2 linked regions of the Pelodiscus sinensis genome follow. Each later gene encodes a partner of the first gene's protein in a complex. Links are inferred from orthologs where the notes say so. Each region holds a gene or a part of one and is shown in the gene's direction. Other genes may lie near its edges. The genes, in order: GAPDH and RPL13A.

The links.
Region 2: GAPDH (region 1) and RPL13A share a complex: the UniProt entries of both Homo sapiens proteins name them as parts of the GAIT complex. The link is inferred for Pelodiscus sinensis from reciprocal best matches to the Homo sapiens genes GAPDH and RPL13A.

Annotation. Positions count from the first base shown.
Region 1 is NC_134711.1:138,808,069-138,822,911, reverse strand, and holds GAPDH (glyceraldehyde-3-phosphate dehydrogenase), read left to right. Parts: upstream 1-7,656; 5' UTR 7,657-7,771; intron 7,772-8,235; exon of another isoform or gene 8,236-8,238; 5' UTR 8,239-8,259; coding exon 8,260-8,282; intron 8,283-8,782; coding exon 8,783-8,882; intron 8,883-9,080; coding exon 9,081-9,187; intron 9,188-9,280; coding exon 9,281-9,371; intron 9,372-9,575; coding exon 9,576-9,691; intron 9,692-9,844; coding exon 9,845-9,926; intron 9,927-10,214; coding exon 10,215-10,366; intron 10,367-10,524; coding exon 10,525-10,603; intron 10,604-10,932; coding exon 10,933-11,016; intron 11,017-11,243; coding exon 11,244-11,341; intron 11,342-11,990; coding exon 11,991-12,060; 3' UTR 12,061-12,306; downstream 12,307-14,843. UniProt on the Homo sapiens protein: Has both glyceraldehyde-3-phosphate dehydrogenase and nitrosylase activities, thereby playing a role in glycolysis and nuclear functions, respectively.
Region 2 is NW_027465977.1:1,480-16,883, forward strand, and holds RPL13A (large ribosomal subunit protein uL13), read left to right. Parts: upstream 1-5,934; 5' UTR 5,935-6,006; coding exon 6,007-6,021; intron 6,022-6,659; coding exon 6,660-6,732; intron 6,733-6,797; exon of another isoform or gene 6,798-6,879; intron 6,880-7,399; coding exon 7,400-7,465; intron 7,466-8,552; coding exon 8,553-8,654; intron 8,655-8,837; coding exon 8,838-8,923; intron 8,924-9,104; coding exon 9,105-9,164; intron 9,165-9,644; exon of another isoform or gene 9,645-9,729; intron 9,730-9,907; coding exon 9,908-10,030; intron 10,031-10,799; coding exon 10,800-10,886; 3' UTR 10,887-10,924; downstream 10,925-15,404. Other genes in the region: DHDH (trans-1,2-dihydrobenzene-1,2-diol dehydrogenase), read right to left, coding at 12,351-12,463, 12,730-12,880, 13,073-13,197, 13,485-13,737, 14,383-14,546, 14,977-15,088. UniProt on the Homo sapiens protein: Associated with ribosomes but is not required for canonical ribosome function and has extra-ribosomal functions.

The DNA of each region.
Region 1 (14,843 bases):
TGATTCTCGACTCCACTCGATCTGTCGGTGGACCAGCCCACCGCGCTCCCAGTGTACCCAGAACTGATAACGCAGGCCTTTGGCAGGCTTCACCATCTGAACCGCCAGTCCCTGCACTCTTGGCTAACCGCCTTGGAGAGACAGTGCTCAGAATGAGTTCAGAGGGTTCTGTTTGGTAAGTGTGAAGGTTTTCGACTACCTAAGTGGAAGTCCTCTGTACTTTGGGTGGCCTAGAAGGGACTTTCCCCTGTAGAAGCCCCCATCCCAGCTATCCTTGACTACCTTTTGGACCTTACGATTCAGGAGCTTGCCACCTCCTAGGTCAGGGTTCACCTTGTGGCCATCTTGGCCTTCCATTTGGGTCCCGGGGGAAAGTCTGTCTTCGCTGACCCCATGGTACACTGGTTTGTGAAAGGGCTGGACAGGTTAGATCCACATGTACGTCAGCCTCTCCAACTTTAGAACCTTAAGCTGGTGCTTATAAAGGTGGGTGATGGCACCCATTTTTTGAGCCAATGGCAACGTGCTGTCTTTTGCATCTTTCCTGGAAGGTCCCCTTCCTAGTGGCCACTACTTCTGCTAGGAGGATGCCTTAGCCCTGAGCTTTAACCTCCAATCCCCATTACACTGGTTTTTTTAAAGATAAAGTTAGGCTCTGCCCACAGTCTGCCTTTTTGTCCAAGGTGGAGTCTGTTTCATGTCAATCAGGAAGATGTTAGACGTGCCTTGGCTTTTTATTTAGATAGGACAAAACCTTTCTGCAAGTCCCTGCAGATGTTTATTTCGATAGCTGACAGGATGAAGGATCTCTCAGTTTTGGCCCAGCCTACCTCCTGCTGAATTACATCCTGCATCAGGACTTGTTACAAGCTGGCCCATTTGCCAACTTCCCCATTACGGCTCACTTCGCTAGGGCCCACACCTTGTCAGCTGCCTTTGTGGGACAGGTACCCATCCTAGATATTTACAGGGCAGCCCTTAGTCCTTGCTGCATACTTTCGCAACCCATGACCCCATAGCGCAGCAGACCGGAGATGATGCAGCTGTTGGTCGAGTGGTGTTGCAGTCCATTTCCAGATAGGCCCCAGCCCCGTCTCCTTGGGTTTGGCTTGGGAGTTACCTACCTCAAATGGAAATGAGCAATCATTGGAAGAAAAACCAGTTACTTACCTCTCATAGCTGCTGTTCTTTGAGATGCACTGCTCATGTCCATTCCAAATCCCACCCGTCTTCCCTTCATCAGAGAGTTTCGGCAAGAAGGAACTGGGGGGATGGAGGGCTGGCAGGGGTATATGTGCTGCCATGGAGGCGCCACTCCAGGGAGCTCTCTGCTGGCCCAACAGGTACCACTGAGGGAAAAACCTTCTGATGAGCCCAGTGCATTCACTCCTATATGGAATGGGCATGAGTAACACATCTTGAAGAACAACAGTTATGAGATGGTAAGTAACCATTTTTTACCCTTTTCAGGGTAGCTGTAACTTCAACTCAACTGAGAATAATGGTTCATGACCGCTGTACTTTCAGCATGAAAATTAACACACACAAAAAAAGTATCTTAAATTAGAGACAAAGTGGGTAAGAAGCATATCTCTGGACACTAGGGTTGCAGGGTGTGCTGCAGCACTTCCAGGTTTTGCATCCAGCTTCCCTGCACCCCAGCTGCGGCTCCAACCTGGGATGGAGAGATGATAGGGCTGCCAAGTCTCCCAGACTGGATGCCACTGCTGCAAATGGCATCTGGTCAACCCAGTCAGGAGAGTTGTCAACCATCAGAGGGACAGGAAGAAGCATAAGGGGGTCTTTGTCTGTGTCTGTAAGTGAAAGACAGACACTTAGTATCCCCACTCTAAAAATTGCCCTGCCCCCGGGAAAGAGCAAGCTTTAATTGGACTGACATGCCTACAGCTACACTGCCTATGGGCTGTGCCCACAAAAGCTCATGATACCATCTACATGTTTTGTTAGTCTATAAAGGGCTACCAGACCATTTGTTGTTTAACTTAAATATCAAGTCACCCATTGCATGAGAACCACTGAGCAGGTAGGCCAGGAGCAAAGGGAGGGGGGTGAGTGCATGCATGGTAACATAAGGAGGTCTAGGGAGTGTATGCATAGGATAAGCAGTAGGGAGGTTCAAGAAACACATTTTGGAGGATGAAGAGGAGGAAAATAGGATATATGCTCCATCTGTGTTGTGGTGTTCTGGCAAAAACAGTTCTATAAGCCCACTTTACCTTGCTCTGGTTATTTAAATTGGCTAGTTAAAGTAGTTAGAAAGTATGAAAGAATTAACAGTTAAAATTTAAGTAATTTGATGTAGAATTTAAATAATTTGTCGATCATTTGAAATACTGCATCTGAAGATTTTTTACTGTTTATTAATGTAGTTTAACAAACATTCAAATTAAGTTAAAGTAGGTATATATCAGTCATTTACAGCAAAGAGGAATGTTGTAATATTCTCAAAACTATATGTTAACCTGTTAATAACTGGAGTTTAAATTTCAAAGAAAGCCAAACAAGCAAATGTATGTCATGCAAACAACCTTTGTCCTGTACTCATGCCAGAAGGGGAGAAAGTAGTGAAAAACAATCTAGTGTGTTCGAAAACTCAGTTTAATCTAATCTGAATCCACACACACTCATTGGGGCAGAGGGCAAAGTTCTTGTTCCCTATGATGCTGTTTCACCAGATTGGAGGCACCAGTTCCTTTTCTCCACATTCCTCTCAAGTATGGCTCTGTTGGAAGCTGGGTTGGGTTAGTGTGGATTTGCACAGATGGGCACTGACACTGTTAGCCCTTGATGGGATGGAGCAGGGTAATCACCTGGCTACAGGGCAGGGAAGACAAGGAGGTGAATCAGGATGGAGTAGGATACTCTGGATCTCAACCTGTCTCCTTTCGGTCTGTGTGTCTGTCTCCCTTTCTTAGAGACATTCCTTTCCCAGCTGCTGCTCTTGGAGTCTGAATCCATGCGGGCCAGAGATAACATGAGGGAGAGGTCCACTTTTGAGCCTCAGTTGCTCCCCTTAGCCCCACACTGCTCCTTCCATACAGAGCAGATACTGGCTGGGTATCCTTTGGGTGTCAGATGCTGGCCAATCACAGGTGGGCATTTGTCTGAGGAGTGTTCACGGAAGGCAATGCCCAAGGGCTGATTTGAGCTAAAGTTGGATCAGATTGGCATATCCAGTCATCTTGGATGCTAGTTCTGGAATGGGACAAAGGAACAAGCATTGAAATCAGGGGAACAGGCAGGTGAGGGGAGTCTTGCAGAGGGGGGATACCAGAAGTGGGATCTGGGATGCATGAAGGTGGGTGAGTCCAAAGGCCAAGGGGCTCATGAAGGACACAAGTGCTGGGGGGAAGGGAGAGGGGGAAAGCAGAGGAATAAGGAATTATGGAGCGAGGCTCTCTTTATGGGCTATGGAGGCGAGAGATGTGAGGCTGAGCCTTGTGCAGGTAGGTCATTTTAAAATTTATTATGGCAAGCTGGCTCGTTTGCTGTGTGACTGGTACATATTTTTTCCCTAGACATAGGAGTTACAGGCACTCAGCCTGTCCTTTGGGACAATTCAAAATGAACTGCTTAGTGTCCTTCAACTCTTTTGTCTTGTGCTCCAAACTGGGGCGGGGGGGGCTGAAACTGGTAAAGATGGCTGAACATAACTGCCCCCTAACAGTGCAGTGCCTGCTTAGTGTAGGCAGAGCCCCCTTCTTGCACAGTTGTGCACCTGTATCAATACCTCTCACTCACCTGCGGTGCAGCTCTGCCAGTGCTCCTCAAGTCTGACCTTAAACAAATCCTCATGGCCTTTGTTCTTCTGTTTGAAGTTCTGAATGTTTTAGTGTTGGTGGTAGTTTTTGTGCATAAGGATATGTTTGTAAATAAACAGATATGTAATTAATTTGCCTATAGAGTTAAATTAGTCCAACACCAGTTGTAATAAAACCTCTGCAACAGCCCTTTTTGGACTGGTATTATTTGTGGAAAAAGAGATATCCTGTAGAAAGAAATGAGGGTGACAGAAACCAGAGAGGTGAAAAAGTGTATTATGTTCCTCAAGCCTCTGAGACAAACACCTCCTCTGCCCTGGAGTCAGACTGGAACTGGACTCTTACCCTCAAAGTAAAAATTCTTCTAGTCCCTGGGAGCCTCCTATCTATTTGTATTCTGCTCTATGAATAAAAGCATGTGTGTTGGTTGGTGTGTTTTTGTCAGCAGGTGGCAGCAGCATCTTAGGCATGGTGCAGCCCCTTGGAGTTAGTTTACTGACCTGATCTTTTATGCTCCAGTTTCCCATTTCAGTCTAGGTGTTCAGTGTGTACTAATCTGGACAATCTCCTGTCATCCTACAGCTAGTGAGAGAGAGTGGCTGAATCCAGACAGGTTCCTTGCTGGGGAAAGACTTTGTCCTGTATTGCCCTAGAACGTCTTTCTCTTTCATTCTCTCCTGTCTGACTGTTTGCCTCAGTAGACACTGTTCTGCTGTGTTCATCTTACCAGCTGTCCCAGCCTGACCTAATACTTATGTAACAGCCATTCAACTTGCATTCCTTTGTCTCCCCTTTGCCAAACTCCACAGCTGAAGCTGCCATCCTACCTCCCCTTTCACGATGGCAGCACAGTCACAGAAAAGCCAGAGCCTTACAGCGTGGTTGCTAATGCACTGGCTGCTGAGCAGGCTTTTCCCTTGGTAGACTCTCATGCCTAGGTCCCTGTTATCTCCTAATGGGGCAGCCTGGGCCCTCTTCCTTCCACTTCCTGTGCTAGACTGTTAGCTTCACAGTCAACTTCTCTCTCCTGCTAACCACAGGAGAAACTGCTTTCCAGGTCCAGAGGCCATGGTACAGAGCCACGGGCAGGCATGTTGTAAACTATGTGTACCACCTGTGTTTTCTACTCCTGGTCGGTCTTGTAGTGGGGAGCAGGACCATTGGTGGGAGTGGTTCTTAGCTACTTCAGTGCTGGTTTTCCCCCAACAAGAGGCACTATAGTGGTGGTTGCTAGGATCAGGGTGTAGCAGTTTGCAGCTGTTTGGTTGGTCTGTCTTCCTTCTGCACAGAGTCCTCAGCAATGTGTGTTTCTCCAGCCAACACAGGCCCTTTTGTTAGTGCAAATGCTCAAGTAGCTCAGGAGAGAACGTCCATCCCCTCCTCTTCCTGACTTCTCTACAACATTTTGCCCAGGATCTGCCCCATGTCCTGGTGGGTCAGAAGTACCAAACTGTCCCCACTCCTCTGGTGTGGTATAGACCATCCCTGTGGCCTTTAATTAAAGGTCATAACTTCAATTCGAGCTAAACTTAGCTCCCTCCCACTTTCCCAGCCCTGGGAATAGCATCTGGATGAGGGGAGTTGGATTACTTCTTAACCAGTTGACCTGTCTCTGCTCCTCTTGGTATCTGCTCTGCTACCCATTCCTATCTGTGCTTTGCTTTCTCCTACTGTCTCCTCTCCCTACGGCGCCTATGCTACTGTCCCCCCAGTCCTGGTAGGCAGGGCCAGGGCCAGGGCGGAGGAAGGGTTTACTCCTTTACTATCCGCACGCATTTCCATAGCTCACCCGGTCTCACGAAAGGGAGACTCCTTAGAGCTCTCCAACGTGTTGTTTGAAACACGCTCCAGCTCTCACCCTTCCCGCGGCTCCAGGGGAGGGGGGATCTGTTCTGCACCAGGGATTTTTGTCCCCGGCTGGGCACTGCCACTCCTAGCCGAGCTGACTGGGGGGCGGGCATCCCAGCTCGGGCAGGGCGTCGCCGGGGCACTGCTGTGAGAAAGCTCATCCTGCAAGGCTCCCACCCGGGGCTGCACGGGTGAGGTGAGGTCGGCCTGTGAGCCAGGCAGGGCCCGGCCCAGGAGCAGCTCCTGCCGCGGGTGCTCCCCCTCCCGCGCACAAGGCCCCGAGCCACGGAAACGCCCTGTCCCCCCCCGCGAGCGGGCGAGTCAGGTGGTAGGCAGGATGTCCGCAGTCACGTCCCGCGGGTAGCAGCCTCCCTGCCTTACTGAATGTTCCTCACGCTGGGGAGCGCGGCCTGCTGGAGCCGGGCCCGAGGGCGGGACGCCAGGCCGGCCAGCGCCTGGGAACCGCGCTCCCAGGCTGAGCACGTCGGGCCGGGGCAAGGCGGGGGCGCCGAGCCAGAGAAAGGCCCAGGGAGCTGTGGCGGGGGGCGGGGCGGCAGCGCCGGGCCGGGCCGAGGGACAGGGGCCCGCAGGGTGCGGATCCTCCCAGGCTCGCCCCGGCGGTGCCAGGCTGCTGCGGGGGCGGCTCGGGGAAGTTGTTCCCGCAGGCGCCGGTGCAGCGACCGAAACACTTAACTTCTCAGGATTTGTGACTTTGGGTGCACTGAGCCTGCGCACCCGAACTGAGCAAACTCAGAGATTTTTCTACCCAAAAACACAGTTTCTCTGAATTTGCAAGCAGCCAGCAAAGGGAGCAAGTCCTGAGCAGTTGCACCGAATGTCATGTGTGCGTGACAGAAACTGTGACGGTCACAAAAACGGAGCGGTTTCACTTTTTGCCTATACACCGGCCCGAGCCCCTTCTTGCTCAGCCCACGTGACAATTGTGCCCCGTTCCTTCCGCGCCCGGGGGCTTGTGCAACTCCCGCCCAGCCCCCACCGCAGAGCCTGTGGCCAGGTTACCGTACTGTGTGTGGTAGAGGCGCACTCGCTCTCCTGCCAGTCTTCCGAGCGCGAGCTAGAATGAAGCGCCAGGTGTAACTCAGGCTGAGTGGAGACAGCTCGCCTGCTCCCACCGGGGAAGAGCCCTGGGGCCCATCCCCCATGCACGGCCCTTTGAGGGGGAGGGGCTTCCAGACCCCTCGTCCTCTCTCTGGGGAAGACCGACGGAGCCCCTGAAGACAGGCGCCCCCATCGAGGGATCCCGCAGACACGTGTGCGCGTCCCCTCCGGCCCCCTCCTCGCCACTGTGCTCCGATTGCTGTGCGAGTCCTTCCCCTGCCCACCGCACAGCGGCGGGGCTCCGGCAGGGAGTTCACTGGAGCCAACCAACCGAAAGAATAAACCCCACTGAGAAAGGGGATAATCGCCCGCCCCACCGGTCTGCGCTAACCCTTCAGGGCCGGGCTGTACTCTCCTGCTCTTCCAGTCCTGGCCTTCTCACGCACCTTATCTACCCTCCACTTGTAATCTGCTCCCCTGCTGCGCTTTCAACTCACCCCTCCCCATACCCAGGCGCGCAGGGGACGCCGCTTAGTGCCCCTGGCATTACAATAGCATCTAAGCCGTGGGCCCTTGTGCTGGGGCCCTAACATCCCCACAGTTCCCTGTCCCAGCCACCCCTGCCTCACAAGGCACTTCAAGCTTCGATGGCTGGGCCTGTGCCCATCTGAGTTTCTGGTTACAGAAAAGAGGTAGCGGGCGAAGCCCAGTGCATGCCTGGTCTCACCGCCTTGCACGGGAAGCTACATTGGATTTCCCCTCTGCACAGCAAGTGGGCGCATCGGAGGGATCTGTACATGTGACTCGCTTGTGTGGGGCCTGCAAGAGGGAGGGGGAGCCCCCTGAGTCTCCTTTGTAAGGCGAGGGAGTGCGAGAGAAGGGCCAAAAATGGGCGTGGGAAGAGGAGGCGCGTAACCCCTCAGCATTAGGGCTGCACGTAGCCCTCCGCCTCTGATTTGCCGCTTGCTCGAAAGGCTGGGCCCAGCGATTACCATACGGAAATCTATAAAGGTCGGGGCAGCCAGAGTCCCTCCCTTCACCTTCCCCCTACTGCAGGCGCGTGGCTGAGAGGCAGGGCCCAGGTAAGGGCTCTCAGCCGCAGCGGGGAGTCGGCACTTGGCCGCGCCGGGGTGGCTCAGGCCGGAGCGCGAGTCTCGGGATACTGGTGGGAGTGGGGCGCGGGCTGCATCTCGCCGCCCTACTGGGCAAGGAGGCCGCGGGGGGCCGGGCATGTGGGGCTCTGCGTCCGGAGTCTCTTTGTGCTCCGGCGGGGCGAGCGAGGTGGAGGCTGCGGGGAGGTTGCGCTGGGGGGCGCGGGGCTGAGGCTGCCGGTGCTCGGCGACGCAAGCCCTGGGGAGAAGGAGGCGACAAAGCCCTGGGGGGCGGGCGCTGGCCGGGGAGGAAGTGGCCTGGAGGCTCCGGCGGGCGCTGGGTCCCGCCCGTCCAGCCGCACGGGGGGCGGGGCGGGCCCGGCGGCTCAAGGCCCTCGGGCCAGTTCTCTGAAGCCGGGGGCGGTGCCGCTGCCGTCTGACCCCTGCTCTCTCCGCAGGCGCATCCCGGCAGAAGCGCGATGGTGAAGATCGGAGTGAACGGGTGAGCGGCGGGGGGGGCCGGCCACGGGGGGGCGCCAAGGGCGTGGCAAGGGCACCGGGCTGGGCAGCGCCGGCGGGCGGCTGAGTCATTTCTCCCGCCGCTGCCGGGGGGGGGGGGGGGCGAGTCACCCCGAGCGGGAAGCGCCGGGCGGCCGCATGCGGCCCGGGACGGGCGCCGGGGTATCGCGTGTCCCGCCGGGCCCGGGGAATGTGACCTTCTCCTGCCGCGCCGTAACCGGACCCGGGCCGCGGGGTAAATTTAGCGCCCGGTCGGCGGGGGCGGAGCAAGCAGCGGGGGGCGCGGGGCTCCAGGCGCCGCTGTGTGCTGCCCGGCTCCCGGCCCCTGCTGCCCCGGCTGGCTGGGTGGGAGGAGTGTAGGGCGGGGGCCTCCTTTGCATCGGGGCAGCCGCTGGGGCTAAAGCCCAGTCTGAGTGGCCAGCACCCATCGGCACAGGGCTCCCCTGCTCTGCCTGAGGCTCGCCTCTTCTCTGCCTTGCCTAGATTTGGCCGCATCGGCCGCCTGGTCACCAGAGCTGCCTTCACCTGTGACAAAGTCCAGATTGTAGCAATCAATGACCCATTCATTGACCTCAACTACATGGTGAGTGGAACCCTGGTCTATAACTTGGAGCATTCTGGGGATGGCCTGGGAATGTGGCTATCAGTGATACCATTTCCCTGTGAACCCTGCCAGTGCCCATGGCTACACATTGGGATTGAGGGGCCCAGAGTTAATGCCTGGGCTGTGGGAGTTGAAACACAATGCAGCCAGCACTCAACTTCAGTCTGTTACTCCTAGGTTTACATGTTCAAATATGACTCCACGCATGGTCGCTTTCATGGCACTGTCAAGGCTGAGAATGGAAAACTTGTGATTAATGGACAGGCAATTACCATTTTCCAGGAGTGAGTATGACTCTTCCTCCCCTTTCCCTTGGAGCTAGGGGACAGGGCATTTGACAGCCTTGCAGTTTCTAAATACTCTGGTGTCGTCCTCAGGCGTGATCCTGCTAACATCAAGTGGGGAGATGCTGGAGCAGAGTATGTTGTAGAATCCACTGGAGTCTTCACCACCACAGAGAAGGCCAGCGTGAGTGATGGGTTACATCTGGCTTGGAAGTGGGAAGGAAAGGGTGTAGGGATGAGACTCTTGGCTGCATGTGGAAGTGGGTGTGGACAGAGTTCTCTCTGCCCTGGGGCTGTATTGCAGTGCGATTATTTGGGGAGGTGTCCTAAATGTGCTGCTGTATTGGAGCGATATAGGATTTTGTTAATGTTGGTCTGTCTCCCTCAGGCTCACCTGAAGGGGGGTGCTAAGCGTGTCGTCATTTCTGCCCCCTCAGCCGATGCACCCATGTTTGTGATGGGCGTCAACCATGAGAAATACGACAATTCTCTGAAAGTTGTCAGGTGAGGAGGGGGACAGTTTGCAGGAGTCTTCTCAGGGTTGAACCTGAGGTGCATAGCTGACTATTGCCCTCTCTTGTGAGTTGTGGGGAGGGAGCTGAGAGGTGAGCCCTGACTAACTGCCTCTGGCTAATGTGTCCCTCTTGACTCTTCCAGCAATGCCTCCTGCACCACCAATTGCCTGGCTCCTTTGGCCAAGGTCATCCATGACAACTATGGCATCGTGGAAGGTCTCATGGTAGGTAATCTGGAGGCGCAAAAACCCACACCAGCTCTGTCAGTGGGACAGAACCATGGAGCTTTTGGGGGGGAGGGGTGTCTCTGCACACTCAAGCTGGGACTCCTCAACCCACAGTTTTGGGTGTAGAGGAAGGAGGATTGGGAACCCACAGAGCAGGAGTGTCTCCCTATACTGCCTGGACTAGAGGAAAGTTGAGGAAGGCTGGGGGAGGAATGCTCTAGGTCAGCAGGGTGAGGCTCTAGAGAAATTCAATTAACCCTTCCCCCTTTTTCCCCCAACTTCCAGACCACTGTCCATGCCATCACAGCCACGCAGAAGACTGTGGATGGCCCCTCTGGGAAGTTATGGCGAGATGGCAGAGGTGCTGCCCAGAACATCATTCCAGCATCCACTGGAGCTGCTAAGGCTGTGGGCAAGGTCATTCCTGAGCTGAACGGGTGAGTGTCAGTTCCTTCTCCCAGTGCCCCAAAGCAGGGGATTCATCAGAAGGGGTAGTGAACCTTCAGCTGGCCGGTCTTGCCCTTTCCTCAGCAGGATGTGCAGAAACCCTGTTTGGGGGCAAGCAGGAGTCTATTCTGATCTGTTTCCCTCACAGGAAACTCACCGGAATGGCTTTCCGTGTTCCAACTCCCAATGTGTCTGTTGTGGACCTGACTTGCCGCCTGCAGAAACCAGTGAGTATCACAAAAAGGGACTTGGAGCAACTTCCCTTTACCCCTAAGTTTCTATCCATTCCTCAACGTGTGGGACTGGGTGCAGCTGTTCTGAAGCCCCCATTCCATTTAGAACTGTTGTTGTTGTTTCTTGTGATTTAAGAGATTGTGCAAGGGGTACAGTCAGGCCTGTGGGGAGCTGCCCCTGTCTGGTATAGTACCAGACATAACTGGGTCCTAACTATACTCTTAGCAGTGCAGTCTCAAAGCTGGCAGCAACCTTCCCTGGGGAGCAGCTGCCATGCCATGGGGTCTGGGATGTTCTGACTTCCTGTGTCTCTCTCCCTCAGGCCAAGTATGACGACATTAAGAAGGTGATGAAGGCTGCCTCTGAGGGGCCTCTCAAGGGCATTCTGGGATACACGGAGGACCAGGTAAACTCCCATGTCCTTTCAACAGCGGGGGAGGGGGAATGTAATGAATGTCTTCATGGATGTGGGGAGAAGCAGCCTTATGGAACACCAAATCTTCAGTACACCCTTCTCTTCTTGGGGGTGTTCATGAAGGAAGGTGCCGATTAACATCTCTTTGTGGGGTGGGGGAAGGAGTTGAGGCCAGAAGGGGGTGTGAGTCACCGTGTCTCCTCTTTACCCACTTCCAGGTTGTCTCTTCTGACTTCAACGGTGACAGCCGCTCCTCTATCTTCGATGCGGCTGCTGGCATTGCTCTCAATGACAACTTTGTCAAACTGGTCTCCTGGTACGGGGAGAGGGGATCTGAGGAATTTGGAGGGTTGTTTCTGTGCAATAGGTTGGAAGATTTGGGAGGCACTTGGGGTGCTGGCAAGGATCCTATTACGGCAAGCTTTACATGCTCTCCCTCTGCTGCCTCCATCTAAAATTAACACTTGGCAGCCAGCAGCAGTTTGCTTGGCAAAGAGGCAGTTACCTGGGTAGAACAGGGGTGGGCAATAATTTTTTGCTGGGAGCCATTTTAGAAATTTTTGAAGTGGCCCTGGGGTGCACCGGAAGGGGCTGGGCCAGGACGCTTCCCCTCCCACAAGCCATGATTGGTCTGAGGGTGGGGGAGCATGTGAAGTCCTTCTCTTCCTCCCCTCCCCCCAGATTCCACAGTGGTGAGAGGAGACTTAGCGCTCCCCCTTCTGCCCCCAGGCCAATCAAGACTTGGGGGCAGGGCAGCGCCCACATCAGGAGCGCAGGTCGGAGGGCTAGAAAGACCTCTCAGCATGAAGTTGACCCTTAGTATCCGAACAAACTTCAGCCTCCAATTTTTCCCTGCTTTAGGGAAGGGGGCTGTTCTGGGACCTGGCTTGGGGGTGAGGAGGCTCCTGTTGTGGATGTAGAGGTTTGTCCATTCCTAACTGCTCTTTCTCTGCTTCTGTCACCAGGTATGACAATGAGTTTGGATACAGCAACCGTGTTGTGGACTTGTTAGTTCACATGGCATCGAAGGAATAAACCAGGCACATGGATCAGTCTCTGCCTGGGGAAGGAGGTGTGGGAGAATCATACCGGAGACCTTTGTTCCTCCCACCCCTCTCTCCCCACCATGCAGCTCTGTAGCCTTAAGTGAGAATCCAGTTCTGTTTCATCCTCTCTTCCCCATTCCTCTGCCTTGTGCCTGAAGCGTGAGGGAGAGGGGGAAGCCAACAGACGCTGGCCTGTGTATCACATTTTCTCAAATAAAGTAATAGCTGTTCTGAAGTGTTCCTGTTTCTCTCAAGAGGAGGAGAGGCCACAAAGGGTTCCTAGCATGTTGCTGTGGCTATTGACATAGGCTGGGATTTTTCCACTACTCCAATGGGCTATGGGTTAGGAAATGCAGCTATTGTATATGACATTTTTAGTTTACAAGACTAAAGCTAAGATTCTAAAGCCAAAAAAATCAACCTGGGACATGCCAACAGAAAGGTTGTTAAGGGAGCCTTAAATCTGCCTGGTGAGGCAATCAAGCTATATGATCATATACACTGCTTTTTTCCTAAAACCTATAGGGCATGTGTGTAAGTACTAGCATTCAGGTGTGGCCACTAATTGTGTTGTCACAATTAACAACTAAAGCCAACTTTCACAAATGCTGATTGACTGCAGTTACAGATCAGATTAGCAAGGGCTTAGCAACTCTGGAAAATATCAGATTATAGGTCTGCCAAGATGGGCACTTTTCCACACTTTTTTTTAAGGCTTTCTTTTTCCTAAGTTGCCTTTTAGCATTAAGGTACATGAATGGTGTGAGGTACTTAGGCACTATGGGTGTCATGGCAATAAAACCTGCTCAGTGTACAGATGGGATGGTGTACAAGTAAGGGTGTAAGGCCCATGACTGTAATGGAAACAACCAGCTACTAAATATTTCATGCTCTGTCCCTGATCATACTCGACTTTGTGTAAGAAATGAAGTGTATCATGTAACTTACTAGGCTAGTGTAGTTTTTGTTTGCAGCTGTTAAGTCAGTCACCCATTCTAGGAAAAGTTGCCTTTGTAATAATTGGGTCCTAACCTATATATTACAGTAGCTGTAGGTGTATGTACAAGTGGCTTCTGGGTAGTCTTCCTCCCCCATTCCCCCCTTGATAGCTCAAGGGCTTGCTGTCTATTATCTAAACCCTGCCCTGAAAATGTTTATTTTCGCAACCCCCTTGTGTGCTGAGATGCATTGCTAAGCTCATGCTACAGAGAGGGGCAGCCCCGTGAGGCCCAGCTTCAGGAGTAATCTCATTCACTTGAGTCTTGAATCTTCAGAATATTTGGATGTCTTTCACGATGGCTGTGTCTAGACTGGCCAGTTTTTCCGTAAAATCAGCCGCTTTTCTGAAAAAATTTGCCAGCTGTCTACACTGGCCGCTTGAATTTCTGAAAAAGCACTGACTTCTACTGTAAGAAATCAGTGCTTTTTGCGGAAATACTATGCTGCTCCCCATTCAGGCAAAAGTCCCTTTTGCGTAAAAGGGCCATTGTAGACGGCTCAGATTTGTTTTCTGCAAAAAAGCCCTGATTGCGAAAATGGCTATCGGGGCTTTTTTGTGGAAAAGCGCATCTAGATTGGCACGGACGCTTTTCCGCAAAAGCACTTTTTGCGGAAAAGCGTCTGTGCCAATCTAGATGCTCTGTTCTGGAAATGCTTTAACAGAAAAGTTTTGGGAACATCATGCCAGTCTAGACATAGCCTATGTGCCTGCTTAATCTCTTATACACATCCATGATTCATTCTCCAATGACTGTTCCCTTAATGAGTGCATACCTGTAGCATTTAATTAAAGCCTTTATCATAAGGGTGGGGGTGGGGAGAGACTCTTGTATCTTCATATTTTGCCATTTCCTGTCATCTGAGGGTGTGGCTGTACTGAAGAGGGGGGGCTGTAATTTCACTAGGCTTTCTCAGCTTGTGCTGATGTTGCAGTTGATGTGATTCATTAGTGGGGAAGAATCAACTGTGAGGTAGCGCAGTGAGCAAATGCTGGTAGAGGCATAGGTGTTCTATAGCGGAGGAATAAAGAAAGTGGCACACTGGCTTTCCCCTTCAACTAGGTGGAAGAGCAGGTTCTGCTCCTGCCCAGTGCTTCCCAGCCTCTTATGCTGTAGACTGAACCCATTCACAAACTGTTTGGTGGCCTGGTAACATAGTTGCTTATTATCCAAGGAATGGATATGTAAATAAAATGTTACCCTCTGCCTAGACCTGCCCCAGCCCCTTGCTCTGCAGTGCCTAATACCCTCTGTTCCCCACAGCCCATGCCACCATCCTCTTGCCCTGTGACCCCAACTCTCCTTTGCCACACCTCACCCTCCTAGAGTGAGGCTGCCCCCTCTAGGGAATGTGGCTGTTACTGCTGTGCAGACAGGGGAGCAGCCCTCCTTCATTACCCCCCCCTTCCCAAGTATGTCTTGTGCCCCCATAGGTAGAGATGGGGAGCCTTGCCATTACCAAGGGTAGAGGAAGATGCCTTCTACCACTGGCCGCGCAGGCATGGGGAAAGGCCATTGGTGGGGTGTGTGCCCCCTCTCTCCCCTGCCCCACAAGTGTGGAGGGAGATGCCTCCTCTTGCTGCCTTAGCCACCATGGCTGCCAGAGCTGAGCTGCTGTGAACAGTTGGCTTGAGCTCTGACAGCTGCTGCCACCCAGCAGCCAGGGCAGTTGGCAACTGCTGCTTCTGCCCATTCTAGCTTCTGCTCCTTCCTACAACTGTTCAGTCTTGCCCGGTTCTCCTTAGCCACTTTCAGTTTCCTGCCTAAGCCTTGA
Region 2 (15,404 bases), on another chromosome or scaffold:
CCCCGAGCCTCTGGGGCTGGATCCAGGCATGCTGGGGGCCGGATCCGGCCCCTGGTCCGTATGTTCCCCACCCTTGTTTTGTTTGCTCTTTACCCTGCGCGAGTGAGCTGGCTGGGGAGCAGCAGGGAGCGGGCGAACCGGGGAGTCTCCAGACGGGTCGGCCCCGTTGGGCCCCTGCCTGGCCCCGGGCCCCAGCACCCTCTTCTCTGTGTCCCCTCGCAGGCCTACTGGACCCGCTTCTTCCCAGCCTCCGAGCGGCTCTACTCCTTGCTCTCCCAGGGGGCGCTCGGGGAGCTGAAGATGGTGAGGATTGATTTTGGGGCTCCCCTCCTGGAGTGCCCCCGGGCGGTGCAGAAGGAGCTGGGAGGCGGGGCCTTGCTGGACCTCGGCTGCTACTGCGTCCACTTCGCCACCATGGCCTTCGGGGGAGAGAAACCGGAGTCTGTCCTCGCCTCGGGCTTCCTCCTCCCCACCAGTAACGGGCTGTAGGGCGGGAGTGGGGGGGTTGTGGGGGGCAGCGGTGGGGTGGGAGTGAGGGGCCCTGACAGGGGCTACGGGTCAGGAGTGAGGAGTAGTGGCAGGGCTGTGGGGGGCAGCAGTGGGGTGGGAGTGAGGGGCACCGACAGGGCTTGGGGGGCAGGGGATGCAGGTCGGGCAGGAGGGGCACCAGCAGGGATGGGCTGAGCTGGTAGGGGCTGCAGGGGGGAGGGAGGGGCACCGACAGGGCTTGGGGGGCAGGGGATGCAGGTTGGGCGGGAGGGGCACCAGCAGGGATGGGCTGGGCTGGTAGGGTCTGCGGGATGGGAGGGAGGGGCACCGACAGAGCTTGGGGGGCAGGGGATGCAGGTCGGGCGGGAGGGGCACCAGCAGGGCTGGGCTGAGCTGTCAGGGGCTGTGGGTCGGCAGAGGGGCCCCGGCAGGGCTTGGGGGGCAGGGGATGCAGGTCGGGCGGGAGGGGCACCAGCAGGGCTGGGCTGAGCTGGTAGGGGCTGTGGGGTGGGAAGGAGGGGCACCGACAGGGCTTGGGGGGCAGGGGATGCTGGTCAGGCGGGAGGGGCACCAGCAGGGATGGGCTGAGCTGGTAGGGGCTGCAGGGGGGAGGGAGGGGCACCGACAGGGTTTGGGGGGCAGGGGATGCAGGTCGGGCGGGAGGGGCACCAGCAGGGATGGGCTGGGCTGGTAGGGGCTGTGGGCTGGGAAGGAGGGGCCCCGGCAGGGCTTGGGGGGCAGGGGATGCAGGTCGGGCGGGAGGGGCACCAGCAGGGCTGGGCTGAGCTGGTAGGGGCTGTGGGGTGGGAAGGAGGGGCACCGACAGGGCTTGGGGGGCAGGGGATGCTGGTCAGGCGGGAGGGGCACCAGCAGGGATGGGCTGAGCTGGTAGGGACTGCAGGGGGGAGGGAGGGGCACCGACAGGGTTTGGGGGGCAGGGGATGCAGGTCGGATGGGAGGGGCACCAGCAGGGATGGGCTGGGCTGGTAGGGGCTGTGGGCTGGGAAGGAGGGGCCCCGGCAGGGCTTGGGGGGCAGGGGATGCAGGTCGGGCGGGAGGAGCACCAGCAGGGATGGGCTGAGCTGGTAGGGGCTGCAGGGTGGGAGGGAGGGGCCCCGGCAGGGCTGGGCTGAGCTGTCAGGGGCTGTGGGTCGGCAGAGGGGCCCCGGCAGGGCTGGGTGTGGGCTGCCCTCCTGCTCTCTCTCCTTCCCAGGCGCCGATGAGACGGAGTCCATTATCTTGAACTACCGGGGGAAGCGCCAGGCCGTGCTTACCTGCTCCATTGCGGCCCGGCTGCCCAACCAGGCAGCCCTCAGCGGCACAAGGGGCATCATCCAGGTGCTTGCGGGGGGGGGGGGGGGTGGCAGAGCTGAGGCTTGCGGGGGGAGGGGGGGTGGCAGAGCTGAGGCTTGCGGCGGGGAGGGGTCTCTGCCGTGGGGTGCAGAACCCAGGCGTCCTGCCTCCCAGGCTCTAACCCCCCGGATTGTGTCTCCCTGCAGCTGCCGTCTCAGATGTGGAGCCCGACGGAGCTGGTGGTGAACGGGCAGCGGGAGACGTTCCCCCTGCCGCCCCCCTCCCAGCCCCTCAACTTCGCTAATAGCACGGGGCTGCGCTACGAGGCCCAGCACGTGCGCCAGTGTTTGCTCCAAGGTAACTCGTGAGGGGGCACTGCTGGGGTGGGGAGGAGTTTGCAGCCCCCAGCGTATCCAGCGGGGGGCCCTGCTGTGTGGAAGCTCATAGCACCTAGCATCCAGCCAGGGCACCGCTGGGGGGAAGCTCGCAGCACCTCCTAGACTGACCCTTCTTTTTTCCCCCCCCCAGGGCTGAAGGAGAGCCCTGTCATGAGCCTGGCTCACTCCGAGCTGGTGGCCTCTATCATGGACGAGGTACGGCAGCAGCTGGGGGTGACGTACGCCCAGGACAGGGCCTGACTCGCATTTGCTCTTGTAAGCCCTGTTGACAACCCCAGATCTTTGGATGCGATTTCATCCGGGGCTGATCAACCTACCAGCGTGGCGGTACCGGGCCTAGACAGTTGTAGGGCACCGGGCGACATAGCTCGGAAATGAACACATTAAATGGATTTAAAACTGGCTGGCTGATGGTTCTCAAAGTGCACTTGTAAACGGGGAAGCACCATCGTGTCGGGGGAGGGGTTTCCTGGGGGGGTCCAGCTGGGGTGGGTGGTCGTGGGCCCTGAGCAAGTTAAGTTTTATCAAAGACCTGAAAGGAACCATAGCGTCCGCCCCGACACCGTTTAGCACTGGAGGGAAAGCTGGATGTGTCTGCCTTGACCACCGTGCGGCTCTCATGGAGCAAAACCCAGGCCTGTTTCAAGGCTGGGGGGAGGGATACCTCAGAGTTTAAGCATTGACTTGCTAAACCCATGGTTGTGAGTTCAATCCTCAAGGGGGCTGTTTAGGGATCTAGGGCCAATCTGTCAGGGATAGTATTTGGTCCTGCTATGAGTGTAGGGGACTCCAGTTCCATGACATAGGTATATCTCCATCTATTATTAAGGCTGGTGCATGTAAACACACAGGCAAGGTTTGCAGGGGGAGAGCTTTGAGAGGTAGGATTTTTTTTTTTTTTTTTTTTTTTGCACAATCATACAGATACAGCATGGCACATGAAACCACGCCAGGGACATCGGGAGGAACCTTGTATTGGTACATTTTATTCTTGATAAGCAAAAATTCCAGATACAGCCATAAAACTGTTAACTACAGTCCATATATAGTTTTGCAACATCCTGGCTATGTCTAGACTGGTATGATTTTCCGCAAATGCTTTTAACAGAAAAGTTTTTCCATTAAAAGCATTTGCGGAAATGCGCGTCTAGATTGCGGAAAAGCGTCCATGCCAATCTAGACATGCTTTTGCGCAAAAAAGCCCCGATTGCCATTTTAGCCTTCGGGGCTTTTTGGCGGAAAACAGTACTGTGCTGTCTACACTGGCCCTCTTGCGCAAATGATTTGTGCAAGAGGGCTTTTGCCCGAACGGGAGCAGCACAGTATTTCCGCAAGAAGCACTGATTTCTTACAGTAGGAAGTCAGCGTTCTTGCGGAAATTCAAGCGGCCAGTGTAGACAGCTGGCAAGTTTTTCTGAAAAAGCAGCTGATTTTGTGGACAAACTTGCCAGTCTAGACACAGCCCCTGCGTAGCAGGATGTACCCAGAACAGGGGCATTGTGCACTGTAGGTATCTTAGCCGACACATCATCAATTGGTAAATATTAGAATGACCAAGTCTCGCTTTGCTATAAAATGGGCTTCGTAAGAAGAATCGATGGGAGGGATATAATTTTTTTTTAAAAGACAATCTTTCTAAAAGCGCACCAAAAGAGTAAACCCAGAGGCTGCGTCTAGACTGGCATGATTTTCCGCAAATGCTTTTAACGACAAAGTTTTCCGTTAAAAGCATTTTCGGAAAAGAGCATCTAGATTGGCACGGACGCTTTTCCACAAAAGCACTTTTTGCAGAAAAGCGTCCGTGCCAATCTAGATGCGGTTTTGCTCAAGAAAGCCCTGATCGCCATTTTCGCCATCGGGGCTTTTTTGCGCAAAACGATTTTTACCTGTCTACACTGGCCCTCTTGTGCAAAAGCTTCTGCGCAAGAGGGCTTATCCCTGAGCGGGAGCAGCATAGCATTTCCACAAGAACACTGACACTCTTACATGAGATCGTCAGTGTCCTTATGCAAATTCAAGCGGCCAGGGTAGACAGCTGGCAAGTTTTTCCGCAAAAGCAGGTGCTTTTGTGGAAAAACTTGCCAGTCTAGATGCAGCCACTGTTTTCAGCTACCAGTTGAGGAGAAAGATTGGGTGGCTAACAGTTCGCAACTACCTTAAGTTGTGTGTGTGTATATAATTTTGTCTTTTTGGTCTTAAATATAGTGTGTTTCTGCTGCTAAAAACTCTGAGGTTCTTGCCCGCCTGGTGCTCGGGGGACAGTAGCAAAGTGCCGCCCATCCCAGCCCCGGGGGCAGCTTTGCTTCCAACCCGGTACCCTGGGGGCTCAGCCTCACCTTGTACCTGGCACCAGCCTGGTCCTGCGTGGTGCAGACCATCAGGTGGATGGTGCCCCCACGGCCAGGCTATCTGCCCAGAGAGAGCAGTGCCCGGGCACCCTTGGCCCGGCCCCGCAGGCGGGCAGCAACCAACCGTCCTCCCTCCCTGCCCACCTGGGATTCTGCTGCTCTCCCGGCGGCTCCTGTGGTCAGGCCGGGGGTAAAGCGGCGGCAAGAGGCAGCGGCAGAGGACGCCTGCTGTGTGGGCCACAGCAGCAGCTCCTCCCCGGGAGTGGAGCCGCATCATGCGACACTGAGCCAGGTGGCAGAGCACGCCTGCAGGAGCTGGTGGGGGTGGCCGCGTTGGCGCATGCGCAGGAGCGACAAGTTGAAAATAGGGTTGCCAGATACCTTCACAAAAAATCCCGAACAGGCAGGGAAAAATCGGTTGACCAAAAAAAAAAAGAGGTTGCTGTGCCTTTAAATTACCACGCTCCTTGCTCTCCCCAGGCCTCCCAGAGGACGACGGCCTTCCATCCAAGGAAAATAGAAAATACCAGACATTTTCCATGTCCAGTATTCTCTGGGCTTTTTTTAGCAGATGGAAGGCCAAAATACCAAACTGTCCGGATGAAAACCGGACACCTGGCAACCCTAATTGACAATCCCATGATAGACAGACAAGAATGGTAGCCACTTAATAGACAGATTGTCTAATAATAAAGAAGAATGTAGTTAAGTCTTTCTGGAGTGTCCTGGTTTCCCTGGGATCTAAAATAAATGGAACCACAGGCCAAGCAGATCTGTTTAATTTACATTCAAGTGTAGTAAAAGAAAAGAGCCTCAACACTGCCAAATTAAGGGGAATAAGAAAAGCCAAAAAGGAGTTGGAAGAACAGCTCGCCAAAAGCTACGTCTACACTGGCATGATCTTGTGCAAGAACTCTTCCAGGTGAGAGCGTCTACACCGGCATGTGCGTTTGCACGAGAGATGTGCGTTTGCACAAGAGATGTGCTTTTGCACAAGAGCATCCGTGCCAGTGTAGCCGCTCTCTTGCCAGTTTAACCATCGGGCTTTTTTGCACAAGTAATTCATGTTGCCTGGCTACACTGGCCTCTTGTGCAAGAACAGTTGTGCAAGGGGGCTTGTTCCTGCTGATTTCACACATTAGAACGTCCGTGTCCTTGCACGAGAACCCCCCCCCCCAGTGTTTGTGCACGATCGCGCCAGTGTGGACGCAGCCGAAAGGTAACAGCACGGACCGGAAGCAGGGAGCGGGGCTACCTCGGCCACTTCCGGGGCCCGCCCCTGCCTGGGACTCTGCTAGCCCTCCGCCCGAGGGCCTGGATTGCGTCACTTCCGGCCTCTCTGCCCTTAACGGCGGCGCCGGCGCCGCCTTCACGTCCGCCCGCGTGCGCGCTCACTTCCGCCCCTGCGCGCCCCGCGCCGGACGGGGAGACCCCGCGGCGTGCGCGAGGCGGAGCCTCTTTCCCGGCGGCCGGCGAGCATGGCGGAGCTCAAGGTGCGCGCGGGGACCGGGACCCCCCTCCCGGCCCCGCCCCCCGGGACCCCTCCCGCCCCCTCCGTGTCACCTCGGCTGCCCCCCCCCCCCGTGAGGGCAAGGAGCGCGAGAGAGGCCTCGTGGGCGGGGGGGCGTGTGGGGGGGTTAGGAGGGATGCGGGAGAGGTGGGGGGGTGGGGCGCTGGGGGCAGCTGGGGGGGTGGGAGGCTGGGAGGGGTGTGGGGGGGTGGGGGCAGCTGGGGGGCTCTGTGGGGATGAAGATGGGGGGGGGGCTGAGACCTGGGGCTGGTGTTGGGGGCAGGGGTTTGGCCAAGGGCTGTAGTGTCCGGGGGTGGGGGGGGGGCAATTCGAGGCCCATCAGGAACGGGGATGGGTGGCTGAAGCGGGACCCCTCCCCCATGGGTAGGAAACCTATTGCCAGCCCTCTCCCTTGGGGGATCCTAGTGGTGATGGGGGTGAGGTGTCACACCCCCGCCCCCGGCAGGGGCTTTCCCTAGAGCCAGCTGCTGGTGCCCCATATGAGTTTTCCCCTTTCCCCTGTAGCCAGCCTGTGAGGTGAGACCTGGACCCCCCCCCCATAGCTGTGACCCTACTGTCCCACATTCACCCTTTCTCTCTCCCCCCCCTCCCCCCCGCCAGGTTCTGGTCATCGATGGGCGCGGCCACCTCTTGGGGCGCCTGGCAGCCATCGTGGCCAAACAGGTCCTGCTGGGTGAGTATCGCTGGGGGGCCCCCCCAGGCCTGGAAATACCCCCCACACCTGGGCCCTGCACCCCTGAGGTCTGTGATGATGCTGTCTCGGTGCTCGAGTGTCACAGCCATGAGAGCGCCCGATCCATGCACTACCATCTGAGACCGCTACCGGGGGGCCAGGGCGCCTGGGTTCTACCCCTTTGGGAAGGGAGTGGGGTCTAGTGGTTAGAATAGGGACCTGGGAGGCTGGATTTGCTAAGAGTGCCTCTCCCTGGCCATGCTGTTAAACCCTCCAGTCTCCTCTGCCTCTCTCCTGACACCCAGGCCTTAAGTCCATGGTGATGAGCCCTGCAGGTCTGCGGCTGCCGTGCATGTCGGTATCCGCAGCTCAGTTTGCTCAGACAGGTGTGGATGCAAATGTTGTATCCAACAGGTCTCCAGAGCCGGGCTCAATGCAGGAGCAGAGTAGGTTTGCAGCCCTGAATCATCCTCTCCCCCAGGGCCCTGCTCGGCTGCTAGCCCCTGGGGTTGGACCCTGAGCTCATGAGCTGAGCGGCTTTGTCCTAGTCCCCTGTGCCCCCCAAGTCTCTGACCACGCAGAGCGGGGTGCCCCGTACTTCCTGGGCCCCAGGCTGGCTCCGCAGTGCTCCCCAAATGGCTACGGTCCCTCTCTGACTTCCTCCCAGGGCGCAAGGTGGTGGTGGTGAGATGCGAGGGCATCAACATCTCCGGAAACTTCTACCGCAACAAACGTGAGTGTCTCTGCCGGGCCGGGGAGCCAGGACTCCTGAGCTCTCTTGGAAGGGGCTGGGGCGTAGTGCGTAGAGCTGGGAGCCAGGACTCCTGGGTCCTTTTCCGGTCGCCATTTCCCTTGCCAGTTGCCTAGTGCCAGTCCCTCTCTGCTCTGTCTGTTGCGGGCACAGAGCGCATCCCAGAAAGGGGGCAGTGGGTGGGAGGCGCCTTCCCTGTGGTTGCATGGGTATTGGTTTAGCACCGGGTGCTGTATGGATGCCCCCAGCACTGCACAGACCCAGGCAGAGACGGCCCCTGTCCTGACCAGCTCACAAGCCCTCTCCCACATCAGGGAGCCGTGGGGCCGATTCTCTGGCACTGCTCTGTCCGAAGCCTGGTGGGACGCTGGGGTGGCACCTCGTCTCTCGGAGCCGGCTGCTGCAGCTTGGGCCTGACCTCAGGGCAGTCGGCATCCCCCTGTGCTCCCCGCAGCAGATCTTCCGGTTCCTGGGGGGCCCTGCACCCAACTCTCTCAGCCAGCATGAAACCCTGGGGCGAGGTTATTGGTGCACAGGGACACAGTGTAGAACAGAGCTGGTTAGCACAGAGGACAGGAGCCTTCAGTAAGTCTGTCGGGGGGGCGGGGCAGGGAACCCAGAGCCCAGGCTCTGGCCTTCCCCCTGCACCCCTAGCCAGCCAAGCCTGACTCACTTCCAGCTGCCTGGCTGTCCCCACACCTGTTGCTGCTTCTCTGTTGCTGGGGCTGAAAGTTACCTGGTCACGCCCTCCTGGGGCTTCAGTTCCAAAGGGCCAGCTGTAGCCAGCATGCAGGCAGCTGGAGTGTGCTTCCCCACCCCCAACACACCCTTACTCCTGCCACCTAGCCACGGGTGCAATCCAGAGGGAAACTGAGGCACCCACCATATTCCCGTGGAAAAATCCCAACTTCGTCACAATCCCCGAGGGTGGGAGGGGAAACCGAGGCCGGGGGGGGGGGGGGGGGGGGCTGCCTCCCCTGCCCTCGGTCGCAGAGCTGGGCTATCTGGGAGAATGGCTGCCCCGGCTCGCCCTGGGGTGTGGCCTGACCCTGCTCCGCTCTCGTTCTAGTGAAGTACCTGGCTTTCCTTCGCAAGCGCATGAACACCAACCCGTCCCGTGGGCCCTACCACTTCCGCGCCCCCAGCCGCATCTTCTGGCGCACGGTGCGAGGTAAGCCCCGGGGCCGTACGGGGGCGGGGGGAGCAGCTACAGGGCACCCTGGTGGCACCCATGACTCATTCCTTATAGTCTGATGGGGGAGGTACCTAGAGCTCCCTTCCATGGAGCCTGGGGGGCAGAGCCCCACAGTGCGGGGTGCCCCGGCCTGCTCCCAGCAGCTGCTGTTCCTTGCAGGGATGCTTCCCCACAAGACCAAGCGAGGCCAGGCTGCCTTGGAGAGGCTGAAAGTCTTTGATGGGATCCCACCGCCGTACGACAAGGTAAGGGGGCCCTGGGGGCCGTGTGGGGAATGGTGGGTCTTTTGTCTATGATGCTCTATCTACCTACATTGTTTGATGCTGGGTGAGAAAAACCTGTACCCTGAGACACCCCAGCCCTGCTCCTCTTCCCCCCACCCCCGTTTCCATCCCCCTAACGCACTCCTCTCTCCTGCCTGCACAGAGGAAACGGATGGTGGTGCCCGCTGCTCTGAAAGTCGTACGCCTGAAGCCAACACGCAAGGTACGTCCCTCCCAGAGCCCCTTTCCGCACCGGAAGGGGCAGGAAGTTGGATTCTGACAGACGGCTGTGCTGTCATGAGGCAGGTAGTTCCACAGCTTGAACAAAGGACTCTTCAAAGGCAAAACTTAGGTGTCATTAACCCGTGGGACTAACTGCCAATGGTAGCAGGCCATGGCCAACTCCAAGGCAGTAAATTCATTTGCCAGTTGCGTTAACCAGGGGAACTGCCTGCCACATGATACTGGTGCTTAGTTTGTCAGAGGTTCATTAGGCAGCAGGGTGTTAACCTATGGAGCTTATTGCTGCGTGATGCCTTGGACTGATGTCACATGGCAGCTAGTGACCAAGCCAAGGAACCACCTTGTATAGTCTGTGTTCAGTGCAAGTTGCCTGATGGTTCCTGTGCTGTCGGTCCAGCGATGCCCTGGCCATGCCTGCCAGTGGCCGTACTGTACCCTGTGTTGGCAACTGGCACCTCGGGCGGTCTGTGATGATGCTAATTTACTTGTTTTCGAGTCTCACGACCATGAGACAGCATCCTACATGCACTACCATCTGAGACCACCATGGGGCGCTGCACGACCTGGCTCGCCTTGGATCCCATGGGAAGGGGGTTGGGGGGGCGGGACTGGGGAGCTCGGTTGGATCCCTGGCTCTGGGAGAGGGAGTGGAGGCTGGTGGGTAGGGCTGGGAGCCAGGACTCCTCAGGTCTGTCCTGACCGGTCTCCCCCCTCCCCCCGCAGTTCGCCTTTTTGGGACGCTTGGCCCATGAGGTGGGCTGGAAATACCAGGCCATCACCGCCACGCTGGAGGAGAAACGCAAGGAGAAATCCAAGCTGCATTACAACAAGAAGAAGAAGCTGATGGTGAGCAATCCTGGATGTCGTTGGGCCTTGCACGGCCCCCGTGGGGGAGCTGCCAGCAAGAGGGGGGGAGGTATAACCAGCTCCGTGCACCGCCCCTGAAGCGGCCGCATCTGCCCGCTGGCTATGGGCTTCCTGCATGAGCAGCCCTCATGCCCTGCCCCAGAGGAGTTGTCTCGCCATTGGGTGAGAGGTCCCCCAGATCCTCAGCCCTGGAACCCCACCCCAGAGGTGGCTGCATCCTTCGTTCCCTGCCATCTGCCTGTAGAGCTTATTTCAGTGGGGTCGGGGTGCACTGCAGTCGTCAAACTGAAGCTCTGTGTCCCCCTCCCTGGTGTGTGTGGTGGGGGGAGGCTGGGCGTGCAGAGCATGGCCCATACAAAGCGTCCCGGGGCCCTGGTAGGCCAGCCCCAAGCTGGTGCTGGACTGGGTGGAACTGCCCCTGTGCACCCTCCCTCCCCCATCTGAGCTAGGGATGTAAAATCCTGGTTCATCGGCTAACAGGTTTAACTGGTTAATCGATTTAATTGGGATGGGGGAGCCCTGTGCACTTCAGGCTGGCTTCTGGGCCTCTTCCCCCTTCCCTCCCCCCTGTACACACAGGCTGCTCTAGGGTGACCAGTTCACCTTCAGACTAGGGATAGGAACGGGTGAGTGTGTGGGGCAGGGCTGAGCATTCGAATCAGGCCATATCCAGTGTGGGGCCAGGGCCCTGTTACCAGGGATGTCCCCTGAATCTTGGTCTGATGCCTCCGCCTGGCATGTCTTGCAGAAACTGCAGAAGCAGGCAGAGAAGAACGTGGAAGGCAAGATCGCCCGCTACACGGCCGTGCTGAAGCAGTACGGTGTCTTGGTCTGAGCCTGTGACCTCAATAAAACTAGTCCCCTCGACTTCCACCCGGCCCCTCTCTGTGTCTTCGGGGCCTGGCTTTTATCTCTAACTGCAGTCTCTAGCCTCCAGCGGCTGGGCCTTAGCGTTGGATCCCCTCCCGCTTCCGGCTGCTCTGGTTTTCAGGAGGGCTGCAGGTCTCGGGGGCATGTGCCTTCCCCTTCCTGCCCCGGCAGCCCCAGGCACTGTGGGTTTGAGAGCGCTGCAGGGGCGTGTTCAAGGCCATCTCCCCTGTGGGGCTGTAACTCCAGTGCACTGGGCGCTTCCCTGCAGGCGAACCACCTTGAGAACTCACCAGCCGTGAGCTGAGGAGACGGCTGCTATGCAGCGGCTTGGGCCTATCTTGTTATAGCTCCTTGGCCTGGCTCGTCTGACCTCCTGTGTGACAGGGCCCTGGGGCTGCCTGCAGTGGGCCTGTACAGGGACTGCTGAGGGAGGGTGGCTCCTGTGCCCCTTCTGCACACCCCCCCAACACTTTTCCACTCAGAATTTGTCTTCATCAGCTGGGGACTGGCAGCGGGGGAGTCCCCTGTGGAAATTTTTGATGTAATGTGGATGCTGCTCTCTTCTCTCCCCACCCCTGCCCTGGGCTTAGCTCCACCCCAGGCCTGACACCTCACTGTCAGGCCGGTTTTCTGAGCCTTGCCTCATCCCTGCTCGGATACGTCGTTCCCAGGTGTTGCCTCGGCTGGGGAGTTCAGTGTGGGCTGGCTCTCCCCTCTGCCCCTTCCCTGCTACTCCTCAGCTGGGTTGTGTGTGTGGTGAAATGACCCCCCCCCCCCCCCCGCTGCTGTCTGTGTCCTTAGCCCCCAGCCCTCCTGCGGTGGGGGAAATAACTTCCTGGTGTGCCTATATCCTAGGGCTGTCGGAGGTGCCCTGGGTAACCGCGACCAGGGTGCCTGTTGGTCAGTGGTCTTGGTTAAACGCTTCCAATTTTTAGTGGTTGCGCGGTTCCCTGATGGAACAACTCACCAGACCGGCTCCTGCCGCTGGAGGCAGCGTGGGGCGTAAGGGGGCTGGAATTTCTGTGGGGCACCGGGCACTGAACGTGGGGCAGGGTGGGGGGCTGCGAACGAGGGACTTCCCCTGCCTGACTCACCCACAGGCTTCCAGCCACTGGCTCAAGCTGACGATTAGTCGGGGGCAGGAGCAGGCAGGGTACAGGAGCAGCCTGAAGCTTTCCCTTATTTTTGGAGTAGCTACCCCCCTTCTCTGCCCAAACGATTGTGCCCAGCGGGGGCAGTGTTGTCAGGGGCCCTGTATCTGTCCCGGGCCTCCCCCTCTTTGGGAGGGTGGGAGAGGGGGCTGGAAGAGAAAAGAGACAATCCCAGCTCCATGCAGCAAGCAGCCACGGGGTTGTGTTTATTGTAGCCCCGGCCTTGGGAGCAGACACGCCCGCAGCGCATGCCCCGGCCAGGGTGGGGTGCGTCTCCCTCAGCCCTGCCGGTCCTCGGGGTAGGTCACCCCCAGCTGTCGCCGCACTTCATCCATGATGAAGGCCACCAGCTCGCTGTCAGCCAGGCTCATGATGGGGCTCTCCTTCAGGCCTGGGGGGGAGGGGGAAGAGCTCAGTGGAAGGTGGGGGTCACAGCCAGGCTGTGAGCTTCCCCCTGGCAGTGCCCAGCCTGCTGCTGAGAAATGGGAGAGAAACCCCTGGGCCTGAATTCCCTGCTTAGCCCACTAGACCCCCCCCCCCCCCAGGGCTGGGGAGAATCCTGGTTCCCAGTGCCCCACCTCCCCCTCTGCTAACCATTTGACCCTACTCCCCCTCCTAGGGCTGGAGAGAGCCCAGGAGCCTCCCCGCCCCCCTCACCTTGCAGCAGGCACTGGCGCACGTGCTGGGCCTCGTAGCGCAGGCCGGTGCTGTTGGAGAAGTTGAGGGGCTGGGAGGGGGGCGGCAGGGGGCTGTCATGGCGCTCGCCGTTCACGAACATGGTGGTGGGGGTGTACCAGGGGGAGGGGAACTGGAGGGGTACAGGGAAGAAAGGGTTAACAGCCCCCCCATGGGATCTGACCCCCCCCCTCAAACTGGGGAGAGAACCCAGGTGTCCCCCCGCCCCAACCACTGGACCCCACACTCCCAACCAGTGTTTCTGGTTCTTCCGCTGGGGCTAGAGGCCAAGGGCTGCCCCCCCCCCCGCTCCCTCCCCACTCACTTTGACGTAGCCCTCGGTGCCACAGACGATGGCCTCGCCGGGGACCTCCACCCGCATGGTGCAGGACAGCACGGCCTGGCGGTTGCCTGCGTAGTTCAGCACCATGGCCGCCGTTTCGTCCACACCTGGGGAATGGGGAAACCGCAGCCCTCAGGGGCCCTGCGTGCTGAGCCGCGGCCCCTGCCCTTCCCTGTCCTGCCCCCTGCCCTGCCCCTTCTGGTCTCTAAGCCCACCCCCCCACCGGTGCCTCTGCCCTGCCCCCCACCTCTCTGCCTGCCCTGCCCCCTCTCAATCCTGCCCCCCACCCTGCCAGTGCCCTTCACTCCTTCCCCCCACACCTTGCTATTCCCTCCCTCCTGCCCCTTCTCCCTGTCCTGTCCCGTTCTCTTCCCCTCCCCAGTGTCCCCATTACCAGTGGGGTAGAGGAAGCCTGAGGCTATGATGGACTCCGGCTTCTCCCCCCCGAAGACCATGCTGGCGAACTGGGCGCAGTAGCAGCCGAGGTCCAGAACGACCCCGCCCCCCAGCTCCTTCTGCACCAGCCGGGGGATGTTCTCCATGGGGTGCCCCACGGCGACGCAGCTTAGCTTCACTTCCCCCAGGGCTCCCTGGGCCAGCAGCTCGCGGAGCTGCTCCGAGAGGGGGAAGAAGCGGGTCCAGAACGCCTGGGGGGAGCAGGGCAGAATCAGTGCTGGCCGTGAGGGGGCGCTCTCCCCTGCCTGGCTGGGCTGCCCCAGGGGATCTCGTGTCAGACCCACAGCGCGTTGGGCCTGCCTCTCCCTTTGACACCCACGACGGGATGGGTCCCTTCGGGGCTGGCTTACGGGTGGGGTCGGCTCCAGCCTGTTGGGGCCTGTCCTGCCCCCCGCAGATCCCATGCAGCCGACTCTTCCCCGGGGCTAGCACAGCCCCACCCCCAGGGCATCACGGGATGGATCCTCTGGGAATGTGGATGGCCGACATCCGGCACACGGGGCGGTTGGCGGCCTGGCTCAGGGCCACCTCGGCTGGGGAGTTTCTCGGACTCAGCAATTTCCGATCTCCAGGCGTGGAGAGGAGGAAATAGGGGACGGGACGCCCCTTCTAAAGGCTGCCCTGCCGGTGCTGGGGGGTGTCAGCCCCCGCTCCTTTGAGCTCTCAATGTCTCCCCCAGGGGCACTGGGCGGCAGGGAACGGGGCAGGAGGGGGGAGCTGCAGGGGCGCTAGGGAGCAGGCCGAGAGCCCAGCAGGGGGTACAGGGCTGCAGGAAGTGTGTGGGGAGGGCCCAGCAGAGGGTGTGTCTGTGTGTGTGTATGGGGGGGGTCACTCACCTCCATCAGGAAGACCCCCCGGCTCTGTGCCACCTGCGCCAGCTCTCTCACCTCCGCCGCGTTCATGCCCAGTGGCTTCTCCAGCAGCACCGGCTTCCCGGCCTCCAGGAAGAGCCGCCCCACGGGCAGGTGCTGCGGGTGGATGACCCCTACGTAGACCACGTCTGCCAGGGGAGGTGGGAAGAGGGGATGGAACCCAGGAGTCCTGGCTCCCGGCGCCCCCCCTGTAACCACTGGGCCCCACTCCCCTCCCAGAGCCAGGGAGAGAACCCAGGTGTCCTGCTCAAGTTGCCCCTCGCGCTGCTTTTCACCCTTCCCAGATCAGGACCCACAGGTAGGGGGGTCTCGGCCTGCCCCAACCATATCGCTGGGCTCACGCACTGCCCCGAGGGGACAGGGGCCCCATTCCCCGCCCCCCTAAGCCAGCTGGGTATTGCCCCATTCCCCGCCCTCCTGAGCCAGCCAGGCATTGCCCCATTCCCCGCCCCCCTGAGCCAGCTGGGCATTGCCCCATTCCCTGCCCCCCTGAGCCAGCTGGGCCCTGCTCTGGGGCCGGGTGGGAGCCGGCGCCCCCAGGGTCTCTGGGCAGCTCACCCACGTCGGGGTCCTGGGCCAGCTCCTCGTAGCTCCCGTAGGCTCGGGGGATCCCGTGTTTCTCGGCGTATTCCTGAGCCCGGGTCAGATCGCGGGCGGCGATGGCTACGGCCTGGGGCGGGCAAGGATGAAAGGGGGAGCGAGACACCCAGGGGCCCCCCATCCAGCACCCCTTAGATAGCGAGTACGGAGCAAAGAACCCAGGAGTGCTGCCTTCCCCAGCTCCAACCACTAGCCCCCGCTCCCCTCCCTGAGCCAGGGAGAAATCCAAGGACTCCTGGCTCCCAGATTCCTCCCCTGCTCCCGCTCAAACCAGTACCCTCTGCTCCCCTCCCTGGCTCCCAGATCCCCCACCCTGCTCTAACCACTAGCCCTTGCTCCCTTCCCCAGCTCCCAGCCTCCCCTCCGTGCTCTGACCACTAGCCCAC